7 linked regions of the Macaca mulatta genome follow. The protein of the gene in region 1 purifies or fractionates together with the protein of each later gene. This does not show direct contact. Links are inferred from orthologs where the notes say so. Each region holds a gene or a part of one and is shown in the gene's direction. Other genes may lie near its edges. The genes, in order: PRPF19, SNRPD2, SNRPA1, KNSTRN, SNRPD1, SNRNP200 and PRPF3.

What was found.
Region 2: the proteins of PRPF19 (region 1) and SNRPD2 fractionate together in Homo sapiens (co-fractionation; 3 studies listed by BioGRID). This does not show direct contact. The link is inferred for Macaca mulatta from reciprocal best matches to the Homo sapiens genes PRPF19 and SNRPD2.
Region 3: the proteins of PRPF19 (region 1) and SNRPA1 fractionate together in Homo sapiens (co-fractionation; 3 studies listed by BioGRID). This does not show direct contact. The link is inferred for Macaca mulatta from reciprocal best matches to the Homo sapiens genes PRPF19 and SNRPA1.
Region 4: the proteins of PRPF19 (region 1) and KNSTRN purify together in Homo sapiens (affinity purification with mass spectrometry; 4 studies listed by BioGRID and IntAct, counting the BioPlex papers as one, with this or other methods). This does not show direct contact. The link is inferred for Macaca mulatta from reciprocal best matches to the Homo sapiens genes PRPF19 and KNSTRN.
Region 5: the proteins of PRPF19 (region 1) and SNRPD1 fractionate together in Homo sapiens (co-fractionation; 3 studies listed by BioGRID). This does not show direct contact. The link is inferred for Macaca mulatta from reciprocal best matches to the Homo sapiens genes PRPF19 and SNRPD1.
Region 6: the proteins of PRPF19 (region 1) and SNRNP200 purify together in Homo sapiens (affinity purification with mass spectrometry; 3 studies listed by BioGRID and IntAct, counting the BioPlex papers as one, with this or other methods). This does not show direct contact. The link is inferred for Macaca mulatta from reciprocal best matches to the Homo sapiens genes PRPF19 and SNRNP200.
Region 7: the proteins of PRPF19 (region 1) and PRPF3 fractionate together in Homo sapiens (co-fractionation; 3 studies listed by BioGRID, with this or other methods). This does not show direct contact. The link is inferred for Macaca mulatta from reciprocal best matches to the Homo sapiens genes PRPF19 and PRPF3.

Annotation. Positions count from the first base shown.
Region 1 is NC_133419.1:13,166,190-13,170,146, forward strand, and holds the start of PRPF19 (pre-mRNA-processing factor 19), read left to right. Parts: upstream 1-1,157; 5' UTR 1,158-1,358; coding exon 1,359-1,377; intron 1,378-2,290; exon of another isoform or gene 2,291-2,378; intron 2,379-3,838; coding exon 3,839-3,957. UniProt on the Homo sapiens protein: Ubiquitin-protein ligase which is a core component of several complexes mainly involved pre-mRNA splicing and DNA repair. Required for pre-mRNA splicing as component of the spliceosome.
Region 2 is NC_133424.1:58,224,554-58,226,607, reverse strand, and holds the end of SNRPD2 (small nuclear ribonucleoprotein Sm D2), read left to right. Parts: intron 1-302; exon of another isoform or gene 303-437; coding exon 438-617; intron 618-1,253; coding exon of another isoform or gene 1,254-1,279; coding exon 1,280-1,454; 3' UTR 1,455-1,554; downstream 1,555-2,054. UniProt on the Homo sapiens protein: Plays a role in pre-mRNA splicing as a core component of the spliceosomal U1, U2, U4 and U5 small nuclear ribonucleoproteins (snRNPs), the building blocks of the spliceosome.
Region 3 is NC_133412.1:91,654,048-91,658,276, reverse strand, and holds the start of SNRPA1 (U2 small nuclear ribonucleoprotein A'), read left to right. Parts: upstream 1-1,429; 5' UTR 1,430-1,494; coding exon 1,495-1,576; intron 1,577-3,943; coding exon 3,944-4,091; intron 4,092-4,229. UniProt on the Homo sapiens protein: Involved in pre-mRNA splicing as component of the spliceosome. Associated with sn-RNP U2, where it contributes to the binding of stem loop IV of U2 snRNA.
Region 4 is NC_133412.1:17,701,216-17,704,715, forward strand, and holds part of KNSTRN (small kinetochore-associated protein), read left to right. Parts: intron 1-122; coding exon 123-216; intron 217-2,059; coding exon 2,060-2,121; intron 2,122-2,840; coding exon 2,841-2,915; intron 2,916-3,500. UniProt on the Homo sapiens protein: Essential component of the mitotic spindle required for faithful chromosome segregation and progression into anaphase.
Region 5 is NC_133423.1:70,797,268-70,801,235, reverse strand, and holds the start of SNRPD1 (small nuclear ribonucleoprotein Sm D1), read left to right. Parts: upstream 1-1,168; 5' UTR 1,169-1,276; coding exon 1,277-1,290; intron 1,291-3,968. UniProt on the Homo sapiens protein: Plays a role in pre-mRNA splicing as a core component of the spliceosomal U1, U2, U4 and U5 small nuclear ribonucleoproteins (snRNPs), the building blocks of the spliceosome.
Region 6 is NC_133418.1:5,010,829-5,014,328, reverse strand, and holds the end of SNRNP200 (U5 small nuclear ribonucleoprotein 200 kDa helicase), read left to right. Parts: coding exon 1-106; intron 107-388; coding exon 389-532; intron 533-622; coding exon 623-799; intron 800-1,094; coding exon 1,095-1,255; intron 1,256-1,350; coding exon 1,351-1,432; intron 1,433-2,674; coding exon 2,675-2,767; intron 2,768-2,864; coding exon 2,865-3,008; 3' UTR 3,009-3,287; downstream 3,288-3,500. UniProt on the Homo sapiens protein: Catalyzes the ATP-dependent unwinding of U4/U6 RNA duplices, an essential step in the assembly of a catalytically active spliceosome. Plays a role in pre-mRNA splicing as a core component of precatalytic, catalytic and postcatalytic spliceosomal complexes.
Region 7 is NC_133406.1:116,795,743-116,799,242, reverse strand, and holds part of PRPF3 (U4/U6 small nuclear ribonucleoprotein Prp3), read left to right. Parts: coding exon 1-121; intron 122-2,217; coding exon 2,218-2,297; intron 2,298-3,500. UniProt on the Homo sapiens protein: Plays a role in pre-mRNA splicing as component of the U4/U6-U5 tri-snRNP complex that is involved in spliceosome assembly, and as component of the precatalytic spliceosome (spliceosome B complex).

The DNA of each region.
Region 1 (3,957 bases):
AGAAAATACAAAATAAATTGATAAGAGGCCACTGGTTTGGACTGAGCTCTTGCGCTAGGCCTAACAGACCAAGCTAAAAAGAGTCCTGCCGAAGTTCCACCCCAATGAGCTGAAACTAAGATCTTTATGACCTTCTGAGAGAGAGTGTGTGTGTGCATGTGTGTTGGCGGGGAGAGCTAAATTCCCAAACAGGCAAGTTTTACATGGCATGATAAAGAAGTACCCTCCACTTTAACCTTTACAAGAAAAGTAATTTTGAGATTACCAAATGACCAATCCCATTTTTGTTCTGTTTCTGTTTTCCTCAGTCCTTTTCTGTCTAAAAAACCAAGCTCCCCTGTTCAGCTCATTGGAACAACCATTAGATTTTATAGTGTAAGGCGCTGCCCAATTTTATAGAATTGCACCCTAAGTCCCAGAGCTACTCTGGAGGCTGAGGCAGAAGGATCACTTGAGCCCAGGAGTTCCAGGATGCACCTGTGATAGCCATGATTGCTACGATTGCACCTGTGAATAGCCACTGCGTTCCAGCCTGGGCAACATTGCCAGAGTCCGTCTCTTAAAAACAAAAACAAAAACAAAACAAAACCAAAAAACAAAAACAAACAAAAAACTTTAAACTAAATTTGTTGTGATTTTGTCTTTTGACAAAGAAGAAAGGGCAGGGAAGCCAATGTGAATTGCCCCAAATCACAGAGCGAAACGGTAGTAGTCAGGACCAAAACGCTGTCTTAGCCGTTTTCTTAGTTCCTGTACCCATCTGCCTCTGTATTTTTAACACCAGGCCATCCAGCAGTGTCTCTTAAAGGGTGGCCCGAGAAACACCTGACTTAGAATAGCGTGGGGCGCAGTCTGTCTACGCAGATCCGAGGAATCTGCATTTTAACAATGGGAAATTGGGAAATTCTCGCGCACACCAAGGTTTCAAAGACCAGGGTCCCGTGACACAGTGCCGCACAGTTGTCAAAACAAGTGCTGTCCAATTGCTTTGGTTTTAAGTTCTCACTGCATCATGGGAAATGTAGTTTCGAGTCTCCTCTCTTCCGACGCCCCCGCCAATCCCCGGGCGCTTTACGGAACGAGCCGAGTCAATCCGGAAATAACCGAGTGTTCGTGGCGGGCCCTTTCCTGCCCGGCTGCATTCTGGGAAAGGTCTATTTCCGTTAGGTGCTGGAGGCAGTGGCGCGCGGCTGTCCCCATTCCCACGTGAAGCGCTACGCGAGCATCGCTCGACTGGCGGCTCCCAGCTCGCAGCTGAGCAGTCCCGGCAGCAGCGGGGGACCGGAAGTGGCTCGCGGAGGCTCAGAAGCCAGTCCCGGAGTCCGGCGTGTGGCGCCTGGGAGCGCGGCAACGGCGCCATGTCCCTAATCTGCTCCAGTGAGTGTTGCCTGCGGCCGAGCGCGGGTCGCAGGAGGCCGGAGAGCGGCGCGGGAGCGTGTGCGGGCCACTGCGGCGCCGGGGCCGGGGCCGGGGTGGAGGCGGGAATGGGGCGCTCCAGAGGCAGAGCGGCGGCCTGTCAGCCCCGGAGCCCTCCCCTCGGAGCGGGGTGCATTTGCGCAGTGCTCCGCAGTTTACATAGTGCCGGAGGTTTATTGTCGCAGGCATTACTGAGGCAGGTCGCCTCATTCTACCGAGTGGAAACAGGCCTGGACAGAGGGAGCTGGTGCAGGGGAAACAGCCTTGATGTAAGAGTCAGGAAACCCGAGGTCTTGTCCAGGGTCCGCCTCCTGTTGGCTTTGTGAATTGGCTTAAGGCTCTGTGCCTCGGTTTCCCCATCTGCAAAATTGAGAGCATTGCACTGGATATTTTGTGAGGCCTTGCTCGGATAGTCGCAGCTTTTGCAATTTGTAAAGGTCACATGATGAGTTAGAGGTAGGCAAGGCTGGCAGCTAGGTATATGGCTCCCAGCCTTACAGTGTATGACTAATTAAAAACAGCGCACATTTATAAAGCCCTTATTGGTTTACAACGCGCTTCCAAGTCTAGGATCTCATTTTATCCTCACAAGAATTCCCTAAAGGAGAAAAGATCCTGGTGTTGCAAATGAGGAGGCAAGGCTCAGGAAGAGCGGGGCTTATCTAAGAATGCGTAGCTAGTCAATGGCAGAGCTGGGTGACGTAGTTAGGTGACACGGAGTTTGGAGCCTGAATCCTTGCTTTTTCCATACCTTCCACTATCTTTCCCTTTGATATTTTATCATGACGTACATACGTTTTCCTTTCCCTTTTCGTTGTTTCATCAGATTACTCGTTTCCCCTCCCTTTTGCTATTCACCTCCGTCTCTTCTCAGAACCTGTACGTTGATCCAGAGAGGGGGAAGAAGGAAGGGAAATGATGGAAAAGGAATCCCTCACATTGAAGAAATTACAGCTCGCAAAGTACCTTCATATTCATTGTTTCCTTCCAGTCTTGGGAAAGCTCTCTTTTACGTTCCCCAGCACTATCTTTCCTGGCAGGGTTCACTCATTCGTTAGATGTTTACCGAGTGCCCCGGGGGCATCTGCATTGTACTGGAAGTGAGAGACCAGCTGTAATCCTTATCCTCAAGGGGCGCACAGTCTATGCAGGCAAGAGTGTAAATGATACCTCTATTGCGGGTTGTTGTGAACATGAATTACTGTACTGTATGCCTAGAATTGTGCTTGGCACATAGACATGTGCCATGTAAATATTTTTATTGTAATGATTGCCACTTTGCTCCTTGGAATCTTCCAGGTGATAAGTGTCTGCCTGTATCCTAATCAGTTGACTGGTAGCTGGCAGACGTCAATAGCTTCAGGATGGGGACTGGTCACCTAGAAAGACTAAAGGGTATTAGAAAGTTGGGATTTTCAGTCCTACCCCCCACTTACCTGGGGAACGAGAGGGGCTGAAGTTGTCACTAGTGACCAGTGATTTATTGAATCATGCCTTTGTAATGAAGTTTTCATAAAAATACAAAAGGGCAGGATTCAAAGAGCTTCTGTATAGCAGAACATGTGGGCGTTCCTGGAGGGTGGGGTGCCCAGGGAGGGCATGGGAAGCTCTGTACTCCTTCTCCCATACCTCATCCTATGCACCTCTTCATCTATACCCTTTGTAATATCCTTTATAATAAACTGGTCAACATAAGTGTTTCCCACAATTCTGTGAGTCACTGTTGAAAATTAATTGAACCCAAAAAGGGGGTCATGGGAACCCTGATTTACAGCTGGTAGATCAGAAGAACAGGTCAAACAACCTGGAGCTTGCGATTGGCATCTGAAGGGGTGGGGGAGTCTGGTGGGACTGAGACCTCAACCCGTGTGATCTGACACTATCTCCAGGTACCTGGTGTCAGAATTGAATTGGAGGACACCCGGATGGTCACATCTGAGGTCACAGAAGTATTTTGTTTTGTGAGAGAATAGGAGAAACTGAGTTTGTTATTCCTATATTCTCAGACTTTATGATTTCTTTGATAATCCCTCTGGAGCTATAGACTAAGATGGATGGAAGGGATTTGAATGGCTTCATGTGTGTCTCCATGTCATGGAGTAAACTGTATTCATAGAGTACACAATCATTGTTCAGATATTAGGTGGCGATAATGGACTGCTGTTCTCTAGGTGCTTGGCACATAGTAGTTGTTAATAATTATTTGTTGACTATCTGATTGTCAGGAGACTAAAGGAAAAGCTAGTTCCACAGCTGGAAAGCATTCTGGGGCCAGTACAGAACTGGCTTAGGGTCAGATGTCTTGCTTTTTGCTAGTTGATTGTGAGGATGCCTAGTCTTGTTGGGGCTAATAGCAGATGAGGAATCCTCTAGGCTCAAGATTGCCTTCACTCCAAGCTCACTGCCGGCCTTTTCTCTACAGTCTCTAATGAAGTGCCGGAGCACCCATGTGTGTCCCCTGTCTCTAATCATGTTTATGAGCGGCGGCTCATTGAGAAGTACATTGCAGAGAATGGTACCGACCCCATCAACAACCAGCCT
Region 2 (2,054 bases), on another chromosome or scaffold:
TCAGCACTTCGGGAGGTCGAGGCGGGTGGATCACGAGGTCAGGAAATCAAGACCATCCTGGCCAACGTGGTGAAACCCACTGTCTACTAAAAATACAAAAATTAGCTGGGCGTGGAGGTGGCGCGCGCCTGTAGTCCCAGCTACTCAGGAGGCTGAGGCAGGAGAATCGCTTGAACCCAGGAGGCAGAGGTTGCAGTGAGCTGAGATCGTGCCTCTGCACTCTAGCCTGGCAACAGAGCAAGACTCTGTCTCAAAAAAAAAAAAAAAAGAAAAGAAAAAGAAAATGTCTGTTAGGCATCCAGCTGGTGATACTCAGAAGGCCAAACAGGACGGATGTGATGGGACAAGGCTGGGGAGACATTGAGGCTGAGGCCCTGACCACCCATCCTCACAGCTCCAGCCTCTCTCACTTGTGGGTTCCATGTTTATCCATGCAGGAGCCTCCTCAACAAGCCCAAGAGTGAGATGACCCCAGAGGAGCTGCAGAAGCGAGAGGAGGAGGAATTTAACACGGGTCCACTCTCTGTGCTCACTCAGTCAGTCAAGAACAACACCCAAGTGCTCATCAACTGTCGCAACAATAAGAAACTCCTGGGCCGTGTGAAGGCCTTCGATAGGTGAGTGCTGGGTCCTGGGAGGTGTTCTGTGCAGGCCTAGAGAGGCTGCCCTAGCTCCAGTCTGAAGAGCTCAAAGACAGGTTTCTCAGACGCCTGGGGTGTATGGCCCAGGGTGGTGGCTCATGCCTGTAATTCCAGCACTTTGGGAGGCCAAGGCGGGTGGATCACCTGAGGTCAGGAGTTCGAGACTAGCCTGGCTAACATGGTGAAACGGCATCTCTATTAAAAATATAAAAACCGGGCGTGGTGGTGCACACCTGTATTCACAGCTACTCAGGAGGCCGAGGCACGAGAATTGCCTGAACCCAGGAGGCAGAGGTTGCGGCGAGCTGAAATCGCACCACTGCACTCCAGCCTGGGCAACAGAGCGACACTCTGTCTCAAAAAAAAAAAAGAAAAAAAAAGATAATATTCAACGACCTTGTGAGGAAGGTACTGTGATTGTCTTCCCTCTTAAAGATGAACAAACTGGCACAGAGAGGTGCAGTCCTTTGCCTCAGCCTCAACCTAAGGACTGGCAGAATTGGCCTTGGCAGCTTGGTCATCCAGCCTAGCACCTGCATCCTTCCCCAAGCCATGCTGCTGGAGGGGGCGAGCAGCAGGCAGCGCTGTCAGAGGCACCCCCCTCACACCCAGTGCCTCCCCTCCCTGTTCCCCACCAGGCACTGCAACATGGTGCTGGAGAACGTGAAGGAGATGTGGACTGAGGTCCCTAAGAGCGGCAAGGGCAAGAAGAAATCCAAGCCAGTCAACAAAGACCGCTACATCTCCAAGATGTTCCTGCGTGGGGACTCGGTCATCGTGGTCCTGCGGAACCCGCTCATCGCCGGCAAGTAGGGGCTGCCTATCCATCGACAGAACTCACTCTCTCGTCCTATGAAGACCATTGCCATTGGTGTTGAGAATAATAAAGCTCTGTGGTTTTTTTCTAGTGGTATGTGTTCCCAGAGCCTTGTGAGTGGGGTGGATTCAGGAGGGCTTGGGGGAGGCAGCTAATATCAAATTGAATGCTGGGACCAGGACCCGTGAGCAAGTGGAGAGGCCCTGGCTCTGCCCCATCGAGGCCTCACTTTCCCCCTCCGCAAAGCAAACAGGTTGGATGGAAATGAGCACCCAGTTGTGGCACTGGAGAATATTTTAGTTCTCCTGCTTTAATCTTTCTGAGCTTCGCCTTGTCACTCTGTTGCTCTCTTCTCTGCCTCTTAAAATGAATTGGCCTCGCTTGACCAAAATATCTTTTGGGGCCAGGCATGGTGGCTCACGCCTGTAATCCCAGTAGTTTGGGAGGCTGAGGCGGGCAAATCACCTGACATCGGGAATTCAAGACCAGCCTGGCCAACATGGTGAAATGCTGTCTCTACTAAAAATACAAAGATTGGCCAGGCGCAGTGGCTCACGCCTGTAATCCCAGCACTTTGGGAGGCCAAGGCGGGTGGA
Region 3 (4,229 bases), on another chromosome or scaffold:
TCTTAAAAAAAAAAAAAAAAAATTCTAATCAAACAACACCATTAAGAGTGAAAAGGCAAGCCACAGCGTGTGTTCATATGCCTAATATATAAAGAAATTCCAAGAATCAATAAGAAAAAAGGCAGACAACTCCATAAGGAAAAAAATGAGCCAAGGACTCGAAAGAACACTTCACAAAGGAAGCTATCAGAATGGGCACCATACACATGAGAAAGTTCTCAGCTTCATTAGTTATTAGAGAAAAGCAAAGCAGTAGTGCAATACCACCACACACCCATCAGAATAGCTAAAGTTATAGACTTAAAATGCAAACAAGCCTGAAGCTGGAAGCCATGAAAACCCTTACACACCGCTGGAGTGTGTATATTATTTCAGCCTCTTAGTATAACTGTTGGGCATTACTTATTGATGATAGATATAATACCCTATGTCCCAGCAATTCCACTCCAGGAAAAACTCATGCAAATGTGCATCAGATCCACGTACCAGAAAATTCATAGCAGCATTACTCAGAATAGCCCTAAACAGAAAACAACTTTGATGTCCATCAACAGCAGAATAAGTAATTTATGGTATAATATATACAATGGAACTCTCTTCAGCAGCGAAAGCAAACAAACCATCTCTGTAGGCAACCTGGATGGACTCCAGACATAATATAGACTCAAAGAAACTAGGCCAAAAAAAGCATACTGCATGATTCTATTTATATCAAAAGCAAGCAAAACGAATCTGTAGTGTTGAGTTCGCGGTTGCCTTTGGGAAAGAGGAAGGCTTTCAGAATAGTGGTTTTTTGGATCTCGGTGTCGGCTAAGCAGTTGTGTTCACTCTGGTCATTAATCACGCTGTAAATTCATCATATGCACACTTTTCTGTATATCATACTTCATATGAATATTCAGAAGTCTAAAGGCCACAAGCTTAACCGCAAACCCTACCATGCCCTAGGCCAGGTTGGACTTGCGGAGCTGTGGGGTTGTCCCGGCGACCTGCCCCAGGCGGGCCACCTAGCCCGGGATCTCACACTGTAACCCGGAGCCAAGGCCCAGGCCCAGGCCCAGGACGGGTACCTGAACTCCTGGACCCTTCACTGAACCCCACGGGTCCCCGCGCCGGCTGGTGGAGGGAGAGCAGTCACAGCTTCCCGTCCCACCTCAAGGTGCGCTAATGCATGAAAAAGTTCCCCTCGGATGTTTCCACATTCGCCTTAACTTTTAAACACCAACGTCTGGAATCATAGGTTCTCCAGACTCCAAACACACCCCAGGAAAGAACCCAGAACCAGACACAGCCCCTGCGCGCCCGGCAAGACTTCCGGCAAGAACGACCCCGAAGGCGTGGCTCTTCCATTGCTTCGGCCTGGCGGGCGAGCTGCGCGCGCACTCGGGGGCTGCGATTGGTGCTGCCTGGCGGTGGGGCGCGGGGCACGCTGGGACGTCTCGCTGGCGGGAGGCCACGGGCTTTCCACGGCGCGAGGAGACGGGAGGCAGCAGGATGGTCAAGCTGACGGCGGAGCTGATCGAGCAGGCGGCGCAGTACACCAACGCGGTGCGCGACCGGGAGCTGGACCTCCGAGGTGAGTCCGAGGGCGTGGGCGGCCAGCCCCCGGGCGGCACCGCGTCGCCTTATTATCCGCGCTCTGCCGCGTGCACCGAAGGCCGGAGCTTGGCCCGCGGGCCGGTTGTCTGGGCTCCGACCGGGCTGCGCAGGGAACGCGGGGCCTGATTCTTGCCGTTGTTGCCAAATGAGCATCCCGTTAGGCTCTTGGAGCCTTCTCTTACCGCCGTGCCTCTTGACAGGCACGAGTGACTTCATTACTTCCTGGTGCATACTCGTGGGGCTCTATTAGGCCTTGCTTGGCTGTTTCGCAGTTGGCTCTGTTTGAGGGCCCGGAAGAGCGGCTCGTTAATGGTTGTAACGCTAGTGCAGGGCGAGTGATTGGTTCTTAATACTTGCCGCCAGACGATATTTTGAGCGTAGATGGGATATGTGTTCGTTGTTCCTAATGTGAGGGAGGAAACCAAGTCCCCGAACAACAGCGATTGTTTCCCCCAGTATTTTCTACTTAGTACCTTTGTCTGGCGTTTCCCCTTTATGAAGACGTTTTAAAAATTGAACTGTGTGACCCAGGTTTGCACAGCCCTGTGCTGTGTGTAAGTTGTGGAAGCGCTCGCAATTATTCAGATTCCTGTACTATTTCAACCTTAGCAAGACTTGGTAAGATATTGGGAGGGCAGCTAGCTAGTTGGCATTTCAGGAGACGACTTTAAAAAGGATGTGAAGAGCAACTTCTCTGGGGATAAGACCATGCAGCCGTAGCCTGAGATTTGTTCCCACGGGGACCTATGGCTTTGGAGCAGCATCGCTGCGGGATCTGCTTAGATTTCTTGCTGACCTTTGGGAAATCCCGTTGTGTTGTGTTGTGTGTTGTGTTCTGCTTAGATTTCTTGCTGACCTTTGGGAAATCCCGTTGTGTTGTGTTGTGTTGTGTTGTGTTGTGTTGTGTTGTGATGGAGTCTCGCTCTTTCACCCCAGCTGGCGTGCAGTGGTGTGGTCTCGCCTCACTGCAACCTCCACCTCCCCGGTTCAAGTGATTCCTGTGCCTCAAGCCTCCCGAGTTGTTGGGATTACAGGCGTGAGCCACCACGCCTGGCTGATTTTTGTATTTTTAGTAGAGACGGGGTTTCGCCATGTTAGTCAGGCTAGTCTCGAATTCCTGACCTCAGGTGATCCGCCTCCGCCGGCCTCCCAGAGTGCTGGGATTAAGACGTGAACCACTGCGCTCGGCCCCCAGTATTTTTATTTTGTTGAAATTAAGTTTGTTAGAGAAAGGTTCAGTTCAAGAGCAACTCACCACTTTTTTTTTTTTTTTTTTTTTTTTTTGAGACGGAGTTTCGCTGTTGTTGCCCAGGCTAGAGTGCAATGGCGCGATGTCAGCTCACTGCAACCTCTGCCTCCCGGGTTCAAGCGATTCTCCTGCCTCAACCTCCCGAGTAGCTGGGATTACAGGCCTGCGCCATCACGCCCGGCTAATTTTGTATTTTTAGTAAAGACAGGGTTTCTCCATGTTGGTCAGGGTGGTCTCGAACTCCCGACCTCAGGTGATCCGTCCTCCGCGGTCTCCCAAAGTGCTGGGATTACAGGCTTGAGCCATTGCGCCCGGCCCAACTCACCACTTTTGATGATCTCTGCCATTTCTCTTTATGGAGTACGTGCAATATTGAGAATACATATTTTGATGCAATACGTGTAGTATAGCTCTGAATTGTGCCCTTTAACTTTGGGTGAATTCTTTTTTAGTAGACCTTGCTTCTTCAGAATATTTCTTTTCTTATAGTGCCTAACACAGTAATTATGCTCAAATTGGACAAATTAACATTTGAGTGTTCACAGGTTTATTACTCTATGTAAACCATTGAGTTCTTCAACTCTAAATTGTAGCTGGGGGAGGGGAGGGAGAACTGTCATATCTTGAGGCTGTTCTGATGGGTTCTAAGAATCTGGCCCGTGGAGATGCAAGAGTGGAGAACTGTTATCCACAATGTTTGAACGCTGTTTGGGCACTGAGACTAAGCAGCTCAAAGTGTAAATTCCTGTTGTGCGGATTCCGCTTAACTAGCCCAAATGACTTAGAACAGTGTGAGGCACCTTGTAAATGTTCTTATAAATGTTAGCTACCTATATCACCCATTATTATTGTTCTTGTCCTTGTTGTCATTAGATTGTAAGCTTCATGGCACTGGGTACTTGAGACTCGTTCAGCATTTTCTCTCTAGTATCTTGTACAGTGGCAAGGCATGTATGACATGGCATAGGTGCTAGGTAATGCTTCCTGAATAAATCAAAGCCTGGAATCAGATACTATGAAATACTGCTAATGTTTTAAGGGGCTGTTTAGTTATATTAATACCTCTTGTGTGTTTTTTTTTCCTCCATTTTACAGGGTATAAAATTCCCGTCATTGAAAATCTAGGTGCTACATTAGACCAGTTTGATGCTATTGATTTTTCTGACAATGAGATCAGGAAACTGGATGGTTTTCCTTTGTTGAGAAGACTGAAAACATTGTTAGTGAACAACAACAGAATATGGTAAGTGCCTATAGGGGAAAGTAATTTTTTCCCCCTAGGGTAAATGTTGCAGTGTTCCCTGAAGAAGCTGTAGCACGTACTACCGGTTAAACCTACATGGTTTTTTTAATTTAATTTTTATATTTTTAAAAAATATTT
Region 4 (3,500 bases), on another chromosome or scaffold:
AAGGGCAGAAAAAAAAAAAAAAACAGGCTTTTGCTATGGCTGTCCAAGAGCAAGGGCAAGAAAGGGCGACCACCCCTAGGGATTGGGACAGTTCCTGATCTGTCTGTGCGGTGCTCCAACAGGGAGAGCTGAAGGACCTGACCCAAAAGGTAGAGCTGCTGGAGAAGTTTCGGGACAACTGTTTGGCAATTTTGGAGAGCAAGGGCCTTGATCCAGGTAAGAGATAGCACACAGCTAGCTGTCTTTGAAGGGATCAGTGCATGTGTCCCTTCCTGGGTTGATCTTGGCAGCATGGCATCAGCTGGCCCAGTAAGTGCAGGGGTTACTTCAGTAAAGCCCTAAAGATTTTGGAGAGCTTCTGTTTGTTTTCATGTGATGTTGATTTTTGCCTGGCCAATAGAATTTCAGAGGATTATATAGAGAGAAGGTTATCTCTTTCTTACCTGAACACTTTATGCCAACAGGTATGACCTTGCAAGTAGATGAGAAATATTTTGTTCCTTTCAAGGGAGAATATTTTCTGTCTCTTCCCATTTGGGAAAGTTACTAGTGTGCTTGAAAGGAACATTTTGTTTGAACATGTTCTTCCTCGCAAGCATACTAGTAACTTCTCAAATGGGAAGAGACAGAAAATACTACTTCAAGCATTCTTAAACCTGGCTAATCAGTAGAATTACAGTGACTAAAAAATGACTACTGTTACCCTGTCCCCCAGAGAGCAGAATCTGTAGCAAAGAGAGCAGTAGAAAGAATTGTCCAAAGACTATAAGAGGGCCTCAGCCTGAGTCAAAGAGCTAGAGAATGCCCAGGAAATGGGCCCAGGCCTTTTTGTATTAAGGAATACTGACTTTGAATGTTACTGGTTAATCTTTAGGTTACAGGTGAGGATATTCTTTTTTTTTTTTGAGATGGAGTCTCACTCCGTTGCCCAGGCTGGAGTGCAGTGGCGTGATCTCAGCTCACTGAAACCTCCTCCTCCTGAGTTCAAGTGATTCTTGTGCCTTAGCCTCGTGAGTAACTGGGATTACAGGCATGTACCACTATACACAACTAATTTTTGTATTTTTAGTAGAGACAGGGTTTCGCCATGTTGGCCAGGCTGGTCTCAAACTCCTGACCTCAAGTGATCTGCCTGCCTCAGCCTCCCAGAGTACTGGGATTACAGACATGAGTCACCATGCCCGACCTGGGATATTCTTTATAGTCACTGTAAAATACATATTTTTATTTGTTTGTTTGTTTGTTTTTTGAGACGGAGTCTCGGTCTGTCGCCCAGGCTGGAGTGCAGTGGCGCGATCTCGGCTCACTGCAAGCTCCGCCTCCTGGGTTTACGCGATTCTCCTGCCTCAGCCTCCTGAGTAGCTGGGACTACAGGCGCCCGCCACCGCGCCCGGCTAATTTTTTGTATTTTTAGTAGAGACGGGGTTTCACCGTGGTCTCGATCTCCTGACCTTGTGATCCGCCCGCCTCGGCCTCCCAAAGTGCTGGGATTACAGGCGTGAGCCACCGCGCCCGGCCAAATACATATTTTTAAATTTAAATTTTTTTTTTTTTTTTTTTTTGAGATGGGATCTCGCTATGTTGCCCAGGCTGGCCTCCAACTCCTGGGCTCAAGCAATCCTTCTGAGTAGCTGGGACTACAGGTATGCGTCACCACAACTGACACCATAAATATTTTGTATGATTTTAATTTATTACATGCATGTGATATTACCAAAAGTAATAATTTTTAAGGCCTGAAAGGCTCTTAAATTGTGAACAAAACCAAAAAATCCAACCTATACATTTCCTTTGGACAAATTGTCCACTGACCTAAGGAGAAAGTATACAGAATTTTTGGCCATATCCAAACCTAGATTGAAAGGAGATAAAATGCAGTTCTGCAGGGCAGATGTGGGTGACCCTGCCAAGGTGAAAACTTGGGAGAAAGTCCGGGATTAGACACTTAAGAGAAATTCCCCTCATGAATATTTCTGTACTTGTTCATGGAGGGTTTTTATTTTTTTTTGTTTAAAGTGTGTAGTTCCCTAAGTGAAGTTGACTTTGTTGTATCCGTCAGCTTTAGGCAGTGAGACCCTGGCATCACGACAAGAATCTACTACCGATCACATGGACTCTATGGTGAGGGAATGGGTGCAAAAGGGCACAAGGGCTGAGTGACTGTGGGGCTCTGTAAATCTAAGAAGGTCTCTGCTATATGTTCCATAAACCCCAAGAAACAACCTTTGATTATCTGCGATGGTAGAAAAGACAAATGGAACATGCACTCAAAATAGCATATTTTACTTGAAAGGTAGCTTTGTGCTTACAAATATAGGTAAGTCTGAATTGAAAATTTAAAACACGTGGGGCCTGGCGCGGTGGCTCACGCCTGTAATCCCAGCACTTTGGGAGGCTGAGGCGGGTGGATCACGAGGTCAGGAGATCGAGACCATCCTGGCTAACACAGTGAAACCCCGTCTCTGCTAAAAAACACAAAAAACTAGCCGGGCAAGGTGGCGGGCGCCTGTAGTCCCAGCTACTCGGGAGGCTGAGGCAGGAGAATGGTGTCAACCCAGGAGGCAGAGCTTGCAGTGAGCTGAGATCTGGCCACTGCACTCCAGCCTGGGCGACAGAGCGAGACTCTGTCTCAAAAAAAAAGAAAAAAAAAAAGAAAAAAGAAAATTTAAAACACGTGATAGGTAAACCTGTAGAGAGAGCTTTCTGGTTCCTCTGTTCTATACTGTATCAAATTTCCTGACTCCTTTGTTGAGAACTGTGTGGAAGGGATGTCAGCCATCATCTAATGCAGGTCTGGTTTTATATGAAGATTTGTTTACTACATTGTACTTTCCTCTTAGTTGCTGTTAGAAACTTTGCAAGAGGAGCTGAAGCTTTTTAATGAAACAGCCAAAAAGCAGATGGAGGAGTTACAGGTGAGAGGCAGACATCACCCTGACCATTTTCTACCACGATAGGTAGATTTCTTTCCTGTTTTTCTTTTTATTTTTAATAAACTTGCTAAATAATTTTAGATTTATAGGAAAGTTACAAAGATAATACAGAAAATTTACCCTGATACTTTTTTTTTTTTTTTAATTTCCAACTTTTAAGTTCAGGGGTACATGGACAGGGTGTGCAGGTTTGTTACAAGGTAAACATGTGCCATGGTGGTTTACTGCACAGATCATCCCATCACCTAGGTATTGAGCCCAGCATCTATTAGCTATTCTTCTTGATGCACTCCCTCCCCCAACCCCCAACAGTAACATCTTACATTATCCTGGTACATTTGTCAAAACTAAGAAATCAGCCAGGCATGGTGGCTCATGCCTGTAATCCCAGCACTTTGGGAGGCTGAGGTAGAAGGATTACTTGAAGCCAGGAGTTTGAGACCAGCCTGGGAAACATAGCGAGATCCCATCTCTGCAAAATAAAATTTAGAAAATAGCCAGGTGTGGTGGAAGGCAGAGGTTGCAGTGAGTCGAGATGGTGCCATTGCACTCCAGCCTGGGCAACAC
Region 5 (3,968 bases), on another chromosome or scaffold:
AATCGCTTGAACCGGGGAGGCAAGGGTTGCAGTGAGCCAAGATCGTGCTACTGCACTCCAGCCTGGGCGACAGAAGGAGACTCTGTCTCAGAAAAACAATAAAAAATTTTGAGGAGATGTTGTGAAAGATGAAGATTGAAAAGTTTGTCTTATAGATCGGAACTTAAAGTGAAAATAATCCGCTACATTGTGTGATTTTATTTTTTTATTTTTATTATTTTTTGAGACGGAGTCTCGCTCTGTTGCCAGGCTGGAGTGCAGTGGCGCGATCTCGGCTCACCGCAACCTCCGCCTCCTGGGTTCAAGCGATTCTCCTGCCTCAGCCTCCCGAGTAACTGGGACTACAGGCGTGTGCCACCACGCCCAGCTAATTTTTGTATTTTTAGTAGAGACAGGGTTTCACCATGTTGGCCAGCACGGTCTTGATTTCTCGACCTCGCTATCTGCCCGCCTCGGACTCCCAAAGTGCTGGAATTACAGGCGTCAGCCACAGCGCCCGGCCCATTGTGTGAATTGCTTCAGGTACATTAAGTAATGCTAAGGTTCCTGGCGTTGGAACAGAATTAGCATAATCCTTTGGGCTTCTCTAAGAACTTATTTTCGTTCAGTGAGGAATTTATATTAGGTGCTGCACTCACGGTGCCCTGCTATTCAGAAACGTGATGGTGACAGTACGTGTGTGTGTGTGCGCGCGCGCGCGCGCGACGGAGTTTCGCTCTTGTTGCCCAGGCAGGAGTGTAGTGGTGCGATCTCGGCTTACTGCAACCTCTGCCTCCCGGGTTCAAGCGATTCTCCTGCCTCAGCCTCCCGAGTAGCTGGGATAACAGGCGCCCGCCACCACATCCGGCTAATTTTTTGTATTTTTAGTACAGACGCGGGTTTCACCCTATTGGCCAGGCTGGTCTTGAACTCCTGACCTCAGGTGATACCCCCGCTTCGGCCTCCCAAAGTGCGACAGTCCTATTAATTGGATTTAATCTCTTCGAATCTCCCTCTCTTGTGGGACACTTTTCCTCTTAGACCAGCCCTCAACACCCTCAGTCGTGGCAAGGCAACCTCCAGCCGCCAGGGGCCGCAGTCGCGCTCCTCGCGACCGGAAGAGAGTGCGGCCCAGCGCAGCCTCGGCGTTTCCGCCGTGCGTCTGCTGTGCTCCGCGCGCCCTTTACGACCGGAGTCCCTGGAGTAGGCGCTTCCGGCCATTCATACTGCAGTCGGTCAGTATTCGGTTGTTGGATTCTGTGCGCTCTCGGACCCGAAGGGTGACGGCGCCGCTAGGATGAAGCTCGTGAGGTGAGGGAGTGACCAAGCAGCTCCGGGGGCTGTGGAGGGAGGGCTTGGCCCGGAGTCCGGAAGGCTGGGCTCTCCCATTTGCAGGAGGCGGGAAAGCCGCGTGTGCGCGGCCTGCTAACGGCCGGCCTTACTGCGCCCGCAGCTCGTGCTCGGGCCTGGGCTTCCGCCTGGGTCGCTCGCGAATCCCGCGTGTCTTCCAAGATACTGGTATAAAGGCCGAGCCTTTTCTTCCCGCCTAGTGACTTAGAGACTTTCAAGGTACAGCGCCGCCTGGGAGACATCTCGCCCTTACAGTTACTGATTTTCTTTTTGAGTGGAGCTCCAGCCCTACTTAAGAGTACTTAGAAAGCTGTATGAGCTTATCTGGAAACAAACCTGTTTGCAAACTGTTTTAAATCAGAGAAGGACTTCTGGCTTCACAAGTTTTTGTTTTTGTTTTTGTTTTAAATAAGACGGTGTCTCACTTTGTTGACCAGGCTGGTCTCGAACTCCTGGGCTAAAGCGTTCTGCCTGCCTTGCCCTCCCAAAGGGCTGAGATTACCGGTGTGAGCCACTGCGCCCGGCCGATTTTTAAGTTTATCTTTTGATTCTCCTTAGACTTATGATTGATTATTCTACCTCTTTCCTGTTAAGGTAAGCTTTTTATTTAGGAAAATCTCCCAATATAGGGCAGAAATTATCACAACGTAATTGTGGCTGATTACCCAGATGATATATAGTTATTCTGTTTTATTTCTTTCGCGAGAAATAGACCCTGTCACTTAGGTGAGTCTTCTGGAGACTAATTCCAAACTACCTGCGAGTAGATTTGGTTTTGGTCTTTTTCCTTGAGACTGAGCCTGGAACAGAGGCAGACGTTTCTAATAACTAAGCCATCGATTATAAATATTTAGCTTGTTTCTTTCCTGTTGAGTCAAGGATTGTCATTATCCGCTAAATAGTTATTGGGCACCTGTTACCTACTGGGCGCTGGTAATAGTATTTTTTAAAAGGCAGATCCTTGTTGGAGCTTTCTAGTTAGGGGGATGACAGACAAGTAGATAACGTCTGAAATAACGTTTGTTTGAAACGTTTTAAATAACACATAAAAGCCTTCAATATTCAGGGAGGAGGCCAGGCGCAGTGGCTCACGCCTATAATCCCAGCACTTTGGGATGTCAAGGCGGGCAGATCACTAGGTCAGGAGTTCGAGACCAGCCTGACCAACATGGTGAAACCCCGTCTCTACTAAAATTACAAAAATTGGCCGGGCGTGGTGGCGCGCGCTTGTAATCCCAGCTACTGAGGAGGCTAAGGCAGGAGAATCGCTTGAACCCAGGAGGCAGAGGTTGCAGTGAGCTGAGATTGGCCACTACGCTCCAGCCTGGGCAACAGAGCGAGACTCCGTTGCAAAAATAAAAAAATAAAAAATAAAAAATTCAGGGAGGAGTTGGTACAAAAGACAATTAAGATTAATTTTTGTTGTATTTTTATTTGAACTATAATTTTGGATAGGAAGTCATAGAATTTAAAGTGCATTTTTTAGGCTGGACGCGGTGGCTCACGCCTGTAATCCCAGCACTTTGGGAAGCTGAGGCAGGCGGATCGCCTGAAGTCAGGAGTTCAGGACCTGCCTGGCCAACGTGGTGAAACCCCGTCTTTCGAAAAAATACAAAAATTAGCCGGGCGCCTGTAATCCCAGCTACTCAGGAGGCTGAGGTAAGAGAGGCGCTTGATCCCGGGAGGTTGTAGTGAGCCGACGTCACACCACTGTGCTCCAGCCTGGGCAACAGAGCGAGACTCTGTCTCAAAAAAGAAAATTACAACATTTTTTGAAATTTCTCCATACCAGCCGGGCGCGGTGGCTCAAGCCTGTAATCCCAGCACTTTGGGAGGCCGAGACGGGCGGATCACGAGGTCAGGAGATCGAGACCATCCTGGCTAACGCGGTGAAACCCCGTTTCTACTAAAAATACAAAAAACTAGCCGGGCGAGGTGGCGGGCGCCTGTAGTCCCAGCTACTCCGGAGGCTGAGGCAGGAGAATGGCGTGAACCTGGGAGGCGGAGCTTGCAGTGAGCTGAGATCCGGCCACTGCACTCCAGCCTGGGCTTCAGAGCAAGACTCCGTCTCAAAAAAAAAAAAAAAAAAAAAAAAAAAGAAATTTCTCCATACCTGCTAATCTGAATCTTAATCTACTCATAGTTCAATTTTATGTAATACACCTTGGATTTCATTTGTTCCCTTTAAATATATTGCATGTTATGGCAATTTTCCAGTAATTTTTAATACCTGGACTGAATCCTGTTTTGTGTCTTAGGTCAAATATAGAAAGAAAATTTTTTTCTTACCAGAGAATGTATTTTTCCTCCAGAAAATGATTGTTTGACTAACTGGTTTGCGTTTTCAGTAGACTTATTTCTGTATATCAGTTGGTAGTTGTCATCCTTATTCTCACTGTCACCCTAACCAAAAACCTGGGAGGTGAGCTTGACTTTTTCTCTACTGATGTCCTTGACATTTGATACACTGCCAGTTTTACCTACTGCATAAAAGTGTCCCACATTTTCCTGTTTGTTTTTTGGGTTCAGATAGTGTGTTTTGATACTGAGGGACACCGTGTTATCTGACTATTTGATATCTAAGTTTCACTAAGTAGAAAGAATTCAGATACTGAAAGATTCGTCTGAAAATAAGTTGA
Region 6 (3,500 bases), on another chromosome or scaffold:
CCTCAATGCCAAGACCAAGGTGCGAGGGCTCATCGAGATCATCTCCAATGCGGCAGAGTACGAGAACATTCCCATCCGGCACCATGAAGACAACCTGCTGAGGCAGGTGAGGACGGCAGCTTCAGGAGAACGTCCTGGGAACAACGAACTCTGCCTGTGTGCCCAGAGCACATGGCGTCCCTGCCACCAACACCCCCTTATGCATCCCCCGACCCCCACCATATGTCCTCCCCTCCATACCTCCCTCACACTCATCTCCATCCCACTGCCACCCACGTGCCTCGGGGTGTTGAAGGGCTGTGAGCCTGGGCCATGTGGTGCTTTGGCCTGAGCCAGTCTCAGGCAGGGTCACCTGTTCATCACCAACTATTTTTCTTCCACTTTGTAGTTGGCTCAGAAGGTCCCCCACAAGCTGAATAACCCTAAGTTCAATGATCCGCACGTCAAGACCAACCTGCTCCTGCAGGCTCACCTGTCCCGCATGCAGCTGAGTGCTGAGTTGCAGTCAGATACGGAGGAAATCCTTAGTAAGGTAGGGTGTGGGTGTGGGGCACAGGGGCCAGTGGTGCTCTAGACATCTCAGCTGCAACCCCGCCCACTTTGGTACGCCTTTTCGTGGTAGGCAATCCGGCTTATCCAGGCCTGTGTGGATGTCCTCTCCAGCAATGGGTGGCTCAGCCCTGCTCTGGCAGCCATGGAACTGGCCCAGATGGTCACCCAAGCCATGTGGTCCAAGGACTCCTACCTGAAGCAGCTGCCACACTTCACCTCTGAGCACATCAAACGTTGCACAGACAAGGTGAGCCGGGTCAGCCCAGAGGGTCAGGTGGGTGAGCCTGAGAGCCCAGTGTTGTGGACCGAGGGTGGGTTGCGGGAGGTGGGTCTCAGTGAGTGAAACTTGTAGTTGTGGTTCCTCCGAAGGGGCTCCCTGTTGAGATGCTAGAGAGGCTGCCAACGGTGGGCCGTGTTCTTTCTGCAGCTGTTTTCTCTAGATGACTTGATGGTGTAGGAGGTAAAAGTAGCAGCTCTTGGCGCCTGTGTCATTTGCTGTGGCCTGTGTTCTGTCTTTCCTGACGTCCGAATCCTCACTGCAGGGGGTGGAGAGTGTTTTCGACATCATGGAGATGGAGGATGAAGAACGGAACGCATTGCTTCAGCTGACCGACAGCCAGATTGCAGATGTGGCTCGCTTTTGTAACCGCTACCCTAATATCGAACTGTCTTATGAGGTGGTGGATAAGGACAGCATCCGCAGGTGAGCCAGAGGTGGTACCTGTTGGGCACAGCACGACAGTATGCTGTGAGCCCACTGCCACATCACTGACGTGCGCCCCTCCTCTCCCCCTGCAGTGGCGGGCCAGTTGTGGTGCTGGTGCAGCTGGAGCGAGAGGAGGAAGTCACAGGCCCTGTCATTGCGCCCCTCTTCCCGCAGGTGCGTCCTGGTAACTGGCTTGGCCAGGTGTCAACTCCCCTATCCACTGGCTAGGTGCATGGTGCAAGGGCACTGTCCCTGAGGGAGGGAAACTTTAGACTGATAATGAGCTCACAAGGCTGAGAATTAATCTTGAGGCTATGGGTTTTTTTTTTTTTTCCTTTCGTGTTTGTTTCTGCTTAAACAATTTAGGGCCGGGCACAGTGGCTCACGCCTGTAATCCCAGCACTTTGGGAGGCCAAGGCGGGCAGATCAAGAGGGCAGGAGTTTGAGACCAGCCTGGCCAACATTGTGAAACCTCATCTCTACTAAAAATACAAAAATTAGCTGCACCTGATGGTGGGCACCTGTAGTCCCAGCTACTTGGGAGGCTGAGGCAGGAGAATCACTTGAACCGGGAGGTGGAGGCTGCAGCAAGCTGAGATTGCCCCACTGCACACCAGCCTAGGCAACAATGTGAGACTTCGTCTCAAAAAAAAAAAAAAAAAGTAGATGACTGGTCATTGTGAAACCCGTCAGTCGTGCAGCATTTCCATCTCTCTGGCTGTTTAAGATGCGTTTGTCTTTAACTCCCGTGGCTCCAGGACACTTGGGCTTTCCTGGTGGTTTCTTCTTTTTTCTCACTGCCACTCACTGTGCTTCTGGGTGCTTGGTTTTTTACCAGCAGAAAGAAATTCTGGTTCTCTTTATATGGGAGAAGAATTGAAGGTTGACAGCAGAAACCAGATCCTGTGATATGTAATTCACAGGCTCTGAGTAACGAGTGCTTTTAACTAGGACTCCTGGTCTTTGTGACAGTGGGGCGGCCAGTAGACAGGGCTGCAAGGCCTGCTGGGGATCATCTCTGTGCACATTCAGCTCTGGGTTAAGCTTTTTCTCATCTGGCAGATATGCCCTGGACTTAAAAGTATCTCTAAGGAACTCAAAGCTACCAGGCCCCAAAGACTAGACCTCTAACAGTAGTACCTTGGACTTAGCAGCAGGTTCTAAGCGGGAGAAGGTACCTTGGCACAAGGAAATGAGCCAGAACCAACAAATGAGTTCATCTACTTACTTAAATAATTAAGCCTGTTTGAGAGAACTTTTGACAGTATTAAAATGTTGTATCTAATTGTATTTCGGGAAGAAACTTTGGAAAGCTATCTGATTTTTGTTATTTCTTTTGTAACCGTAACCATTTTCATGGCTGCCTATGGCCATCAAGTTTTACATGCTGAAATTCTTGGTTTTGGATCACTGCAGAAGCGTGAAGAGGGCTGGTGGGTGGTGATTGGAGACGCCAAGTCCAATAGTCTCATCTCCATCAAGAGGCTGACCCTCCAGCAGAAGGCCAAGGTGTGTCCACTGGCGCCAGCATTTGTTCCGGCGTGGGGGAAGGGTGAGAATGCTTACCGTGTCCGTGCTCATAATGATTTCTGCCTGCTCTTTCTAGGTGAAGTTGGACTTTGTGGCCCCAGCCACTGGCGCCCACAACTACACTCTGTACTTCATGAGTGACGCTTACATGGGATGTGACCAGGAGTACAAATTCAGCGTGGATGTGAAAGAAGCTGAGACGGACAGTGATTCAGATTGAGTCCTGAGGCATTTACTCTTGGGTAAAGGAGAGTCGAGCCTGAATTAGCAATGTGTACCTTGTAGGGATCCTGGTTGTGGGGACCAGGTCTGTGGGCCTGAGGTCTGGCCAGCCAGGGCTGGTGCTGTCCCTGCCCACCTCCACTTCCTTTTCCCTTGCTCACTCTGGATCCAGTGACAGCAGGTGTCACGGGTGAAGCATAAATCATATATAGCATTTTCAGGCATGTTCCTGGTAGTTCTTTTGAGTTTGATATTCTAATAAAATAATTTGTAGAAACCATTTGTCTTTGCAGTGATTCCAAATTAAACGTTTTCTTTCTCCAATCTAAGGGCATGGCCAAAAAGATCTGGTTATTTTTTAGCCAGAAACGTGCTTGTAATGAGTACTTCTGGAGGACAGACCTGCTCATTAGGCGTGCTGTCCCCTGTAGCCTTGTGAGTCAGCCTGGAGGAGGGAACATCCGACTGTGGCCTGGCCCCAGTGGTGCCC
Region 7 (3,500 bases), on another chromosome or scaffold:
AAACAGGCATCCATACTTCGACTAGGCTTGCCCTCATAGCTCCAAAGAAGGAGCTAAAGGAAGGAGATATTCCTGAAATTGAGTGGTGGGACTCTTACATAATTCCCAATGGCTTTGATCTGTGAGTTTGTTTTAGTACCTTTTTAAAAAAACAGTTTTTAATCAGCCGAGTTTAAGATTCAAGTTAATACCTTTTAGTAAAGCTAGTGGGAAGGATGGTACTCATTCATTAATTAAAATTTTAAAATCCAAGAAAGATAAGTAACTGTACACAAGCTCCTGTGTTTTTTGTTTTGTTTTGTTTTGTTTTGAGAGGGAGTCTCACTCTGTCACCTAGGCTAGAGTGCAGTGGCACGATCTCAGCTCACTGCAACCTCCACCTCCCAGGTTCAAGAGATTCTCCTTGAATTCTCCTTGAACCTCAGCCTCCCGAGTAGCTGGGACTACAGGTGTGCACCACCACGCCTGTCTGCTTTTTGTATTTTTGGTAGAGAGAGGGTTTTGCCATGTTGGCCAGGCGGGTCTCGAACTCCTGACCTCAGGTGATCTGCCCGCCTTAGCCTCCCAAAGTGTTGGGATTACAGGCATGAGCCACTGCACCAGGCCAAGCTCCTGCATTTGTGATGTATCATATAGGTTGTTTTTAGCTTTTGGGGTTAATGTAGGATAACTAGGGACACAAATAATCTACAAAAGCAAAGTCTGTAATTAATTTTGCTGTGTTACACATTGTTGCCTGTTTTTAGCATTATTTTCCTTAATTACATTCTTTTGCTACATATTATAGGTGTTTACATTTCCTAAAGATCTCATTGTGATAGAGCAAGGATTATTAGTTGGTAGGTGAGATAATTGTAAATATATCTTATAAGGCTGGGCTTGGTGGCTGACACCTGTTATTTCCAGCACTTTTGGAGGCTGAGGGCTGAAGGATTGCTTGAGCCCAGGAGTTAAAGACCAGCTTGGGCAATATGGTGAGACCTCATTTCTATAAAAATTAAAAAAGAAAAAAAAAGTAGCTGGGCATGGTGGGTTGGCTACCCAGGAGGCTGATGTGAGAGAATCACTCAAGCCCAGGAGTGTCTGTGCTGCAGTGAGCTATGACCATGACCCCTGCACTCTAGCCTGGACAACAGAGTGAAACTCTGTCTCAAAAAAAAAAAAAAAAAAAAAAAGGATATAAGACACATTTGAGGAGCTTTAAATATATCTGCTCCATCATTCTTTTTTTTTTTTTCTTCTGTCTGAGACAGAGTTTCGCTCTTGTTGCCCAGGCTGGAGTGCAATGGCACGATCTGGGCTCATTGCAACCTCCGCCTGACAGGTTCAAGTGATTCTCCTGCCTCAGCCTCCCAAGTAGCTGAGATTACAGGCATGCGCCACCACGCCTGGCTAATTTTTTGTGTTTTTAGTGGAGACGGGTTTCTCCATGTTGGTCAGACTGGTCTTGAACTCCCGACCTCAGGTGATCCACCTGCCTCAGCCTCCCAAAAGTGCTGGGATTACAGGCATGAGTCACTACGCCCACTGTTTTTTGTTTTGTTTTGTTTTTTGTTTTTTAAAGACAGAGTCTCACTCTGTTGTCTGAGCTGGGAGTGCAGTGACATGATCTCGGCTCACTGCAACCTCTGTCTCCTGGGTTGAAGCGATTCTCCTAGCTCAGCCTCCTGAGTATCCAGTACTACAGGCAAATACCACCACACCTGGCCAGTTTTTATATTTTTAGTAGAGAAGGGTTTCACTGTTTGGCAAGCTGGTCTCAGACTCCTGACCTTAGGTGATCCACCTGCCTGGGTGTCCCAAAGTGCTGGGATTATAGGCATAAGCCACTGCGCCTGGCCCTGTTCCATCATTCTGATACATGGCTTTAGTAGATTTTATCTTAGCCTTTCCTTGCCCATTCTTTGTCAGCCACTGTTCCAGGGACTTATTGTCACTAATGAGAGAACATAGCATCTATCAGCTGTGGCATGGTAGAAAAAAGGTTGGGAATGACTGCTGTGGAGAGTGTGTTCAACCATAGAGGGACTCAGTTCTCTCATCATAAAAATTATATGTAATTTAATTATATATTTTAGGTACGTAAATGCTATTTTAGGTATATCAAGCGCAAGAACCCATTATGGAGAATGGATTTTTTCATTGTATTTCTGAGACTCCTCTCTTAGAATCATCTCTACCCACATATCGCGTTTTCTTTCCTTCCTACAATTTTAGTACAGAGGAAAATCCCAAGAGAGAAGATTATTTTGGAATCACAAATCTTGTTGAACATCCAGCCCAGCTCAATCCTCCAGGTAATGTATAGATTCCTGAATCAAGTCTCTAGAGCAGCATTATCCACTGGAAATTTATACAGCGATGAACATGTTCTGTATCTGTGCTGTTCAGTACAGTAGCCACTATCCATGTGTAATTCTTTTTTTTTAGTTCAGTTTTTTTCCTAACAATAGTTTGTAGTTTGACCAGTGAACATACATTTTAAGTGCATATTCCTGTGCTTAGAATTTCATGAGACAGCCAAGCATGGTGGCTCATGCCTCTAATCCAAACACTTTGGGAGGCCACGGCAGGAGGATCGCTTGAGGCCAAGAATTCAAGACCAGTCTGGGCAACACAGTGAGACCCATCTCAAGGAAAAATAATTTGGCTGGATATGGTGGCTCATGCCTATAATCACTGCACTTTGGGAGGCTGAAGTAGGCAGATTACTTGAGCTCAGGAGTTCCAGATCTGGGCAGCATAGCAAAACCCCATCTCTACAAAAAATAAAATCAGCCGGACATGGTGGCGTGCATCTATAGTCCCAGCCTCTTGGGAGGCTGAGGTGTGGAGGATGGCTTGAGCCTGGGAGGTAGAAGTTGCAGTGAGCTGAGATGGCGCTGCTGCACTCCAGCCTGGGTGATACTGCCAGACCTTGTCTCTTAAAAAAAAAAGAACCCCAAAAATTTCATGAAGCTTTACATTTACAGTTCCCTGGTTGTTCCTAGGAAGCAGCCCTCAGCTTGCTCCTTTTATAGAACCACATGTTGTCATGGCATCCATAGCTAAATGCAAATGCAAGAGCTAAACTCTTGGTTTGGTGTGTTATTAGATGCGATATGCTCCACTACCCACTGTGAGGGATGCTAACTCCAAAGGACTTTTTGTTAGTTTCCCAAAGTTGAAACTGGGAAACAAAGTCGCTTTTTTTTTTTTTGAGATGGAGTTTCACTTTTGTCACCTAGGCTGGAGTGCAATAGCGCGATCTCCATTCACTCATTCACTACAACTTTCACTCCCCGGCCAGGTTTAAGCGATTCTCCTGCCTCAGCCTCCCAAGTAGCTGGGATTATAGGTCCCCACCACCACACCTGGCTAGTTTTTGTACTTTTAGTAGAGACAGGGTTTTGTCATGTTGATCATGCTGGTCTTGAACTCCTGACCTCAAGTGATCCTCCTACCTCAGCCTCCTAAAGTGCTGGGTTTACAGGTGTGAGCCACCGCACCTGGCCCTAATT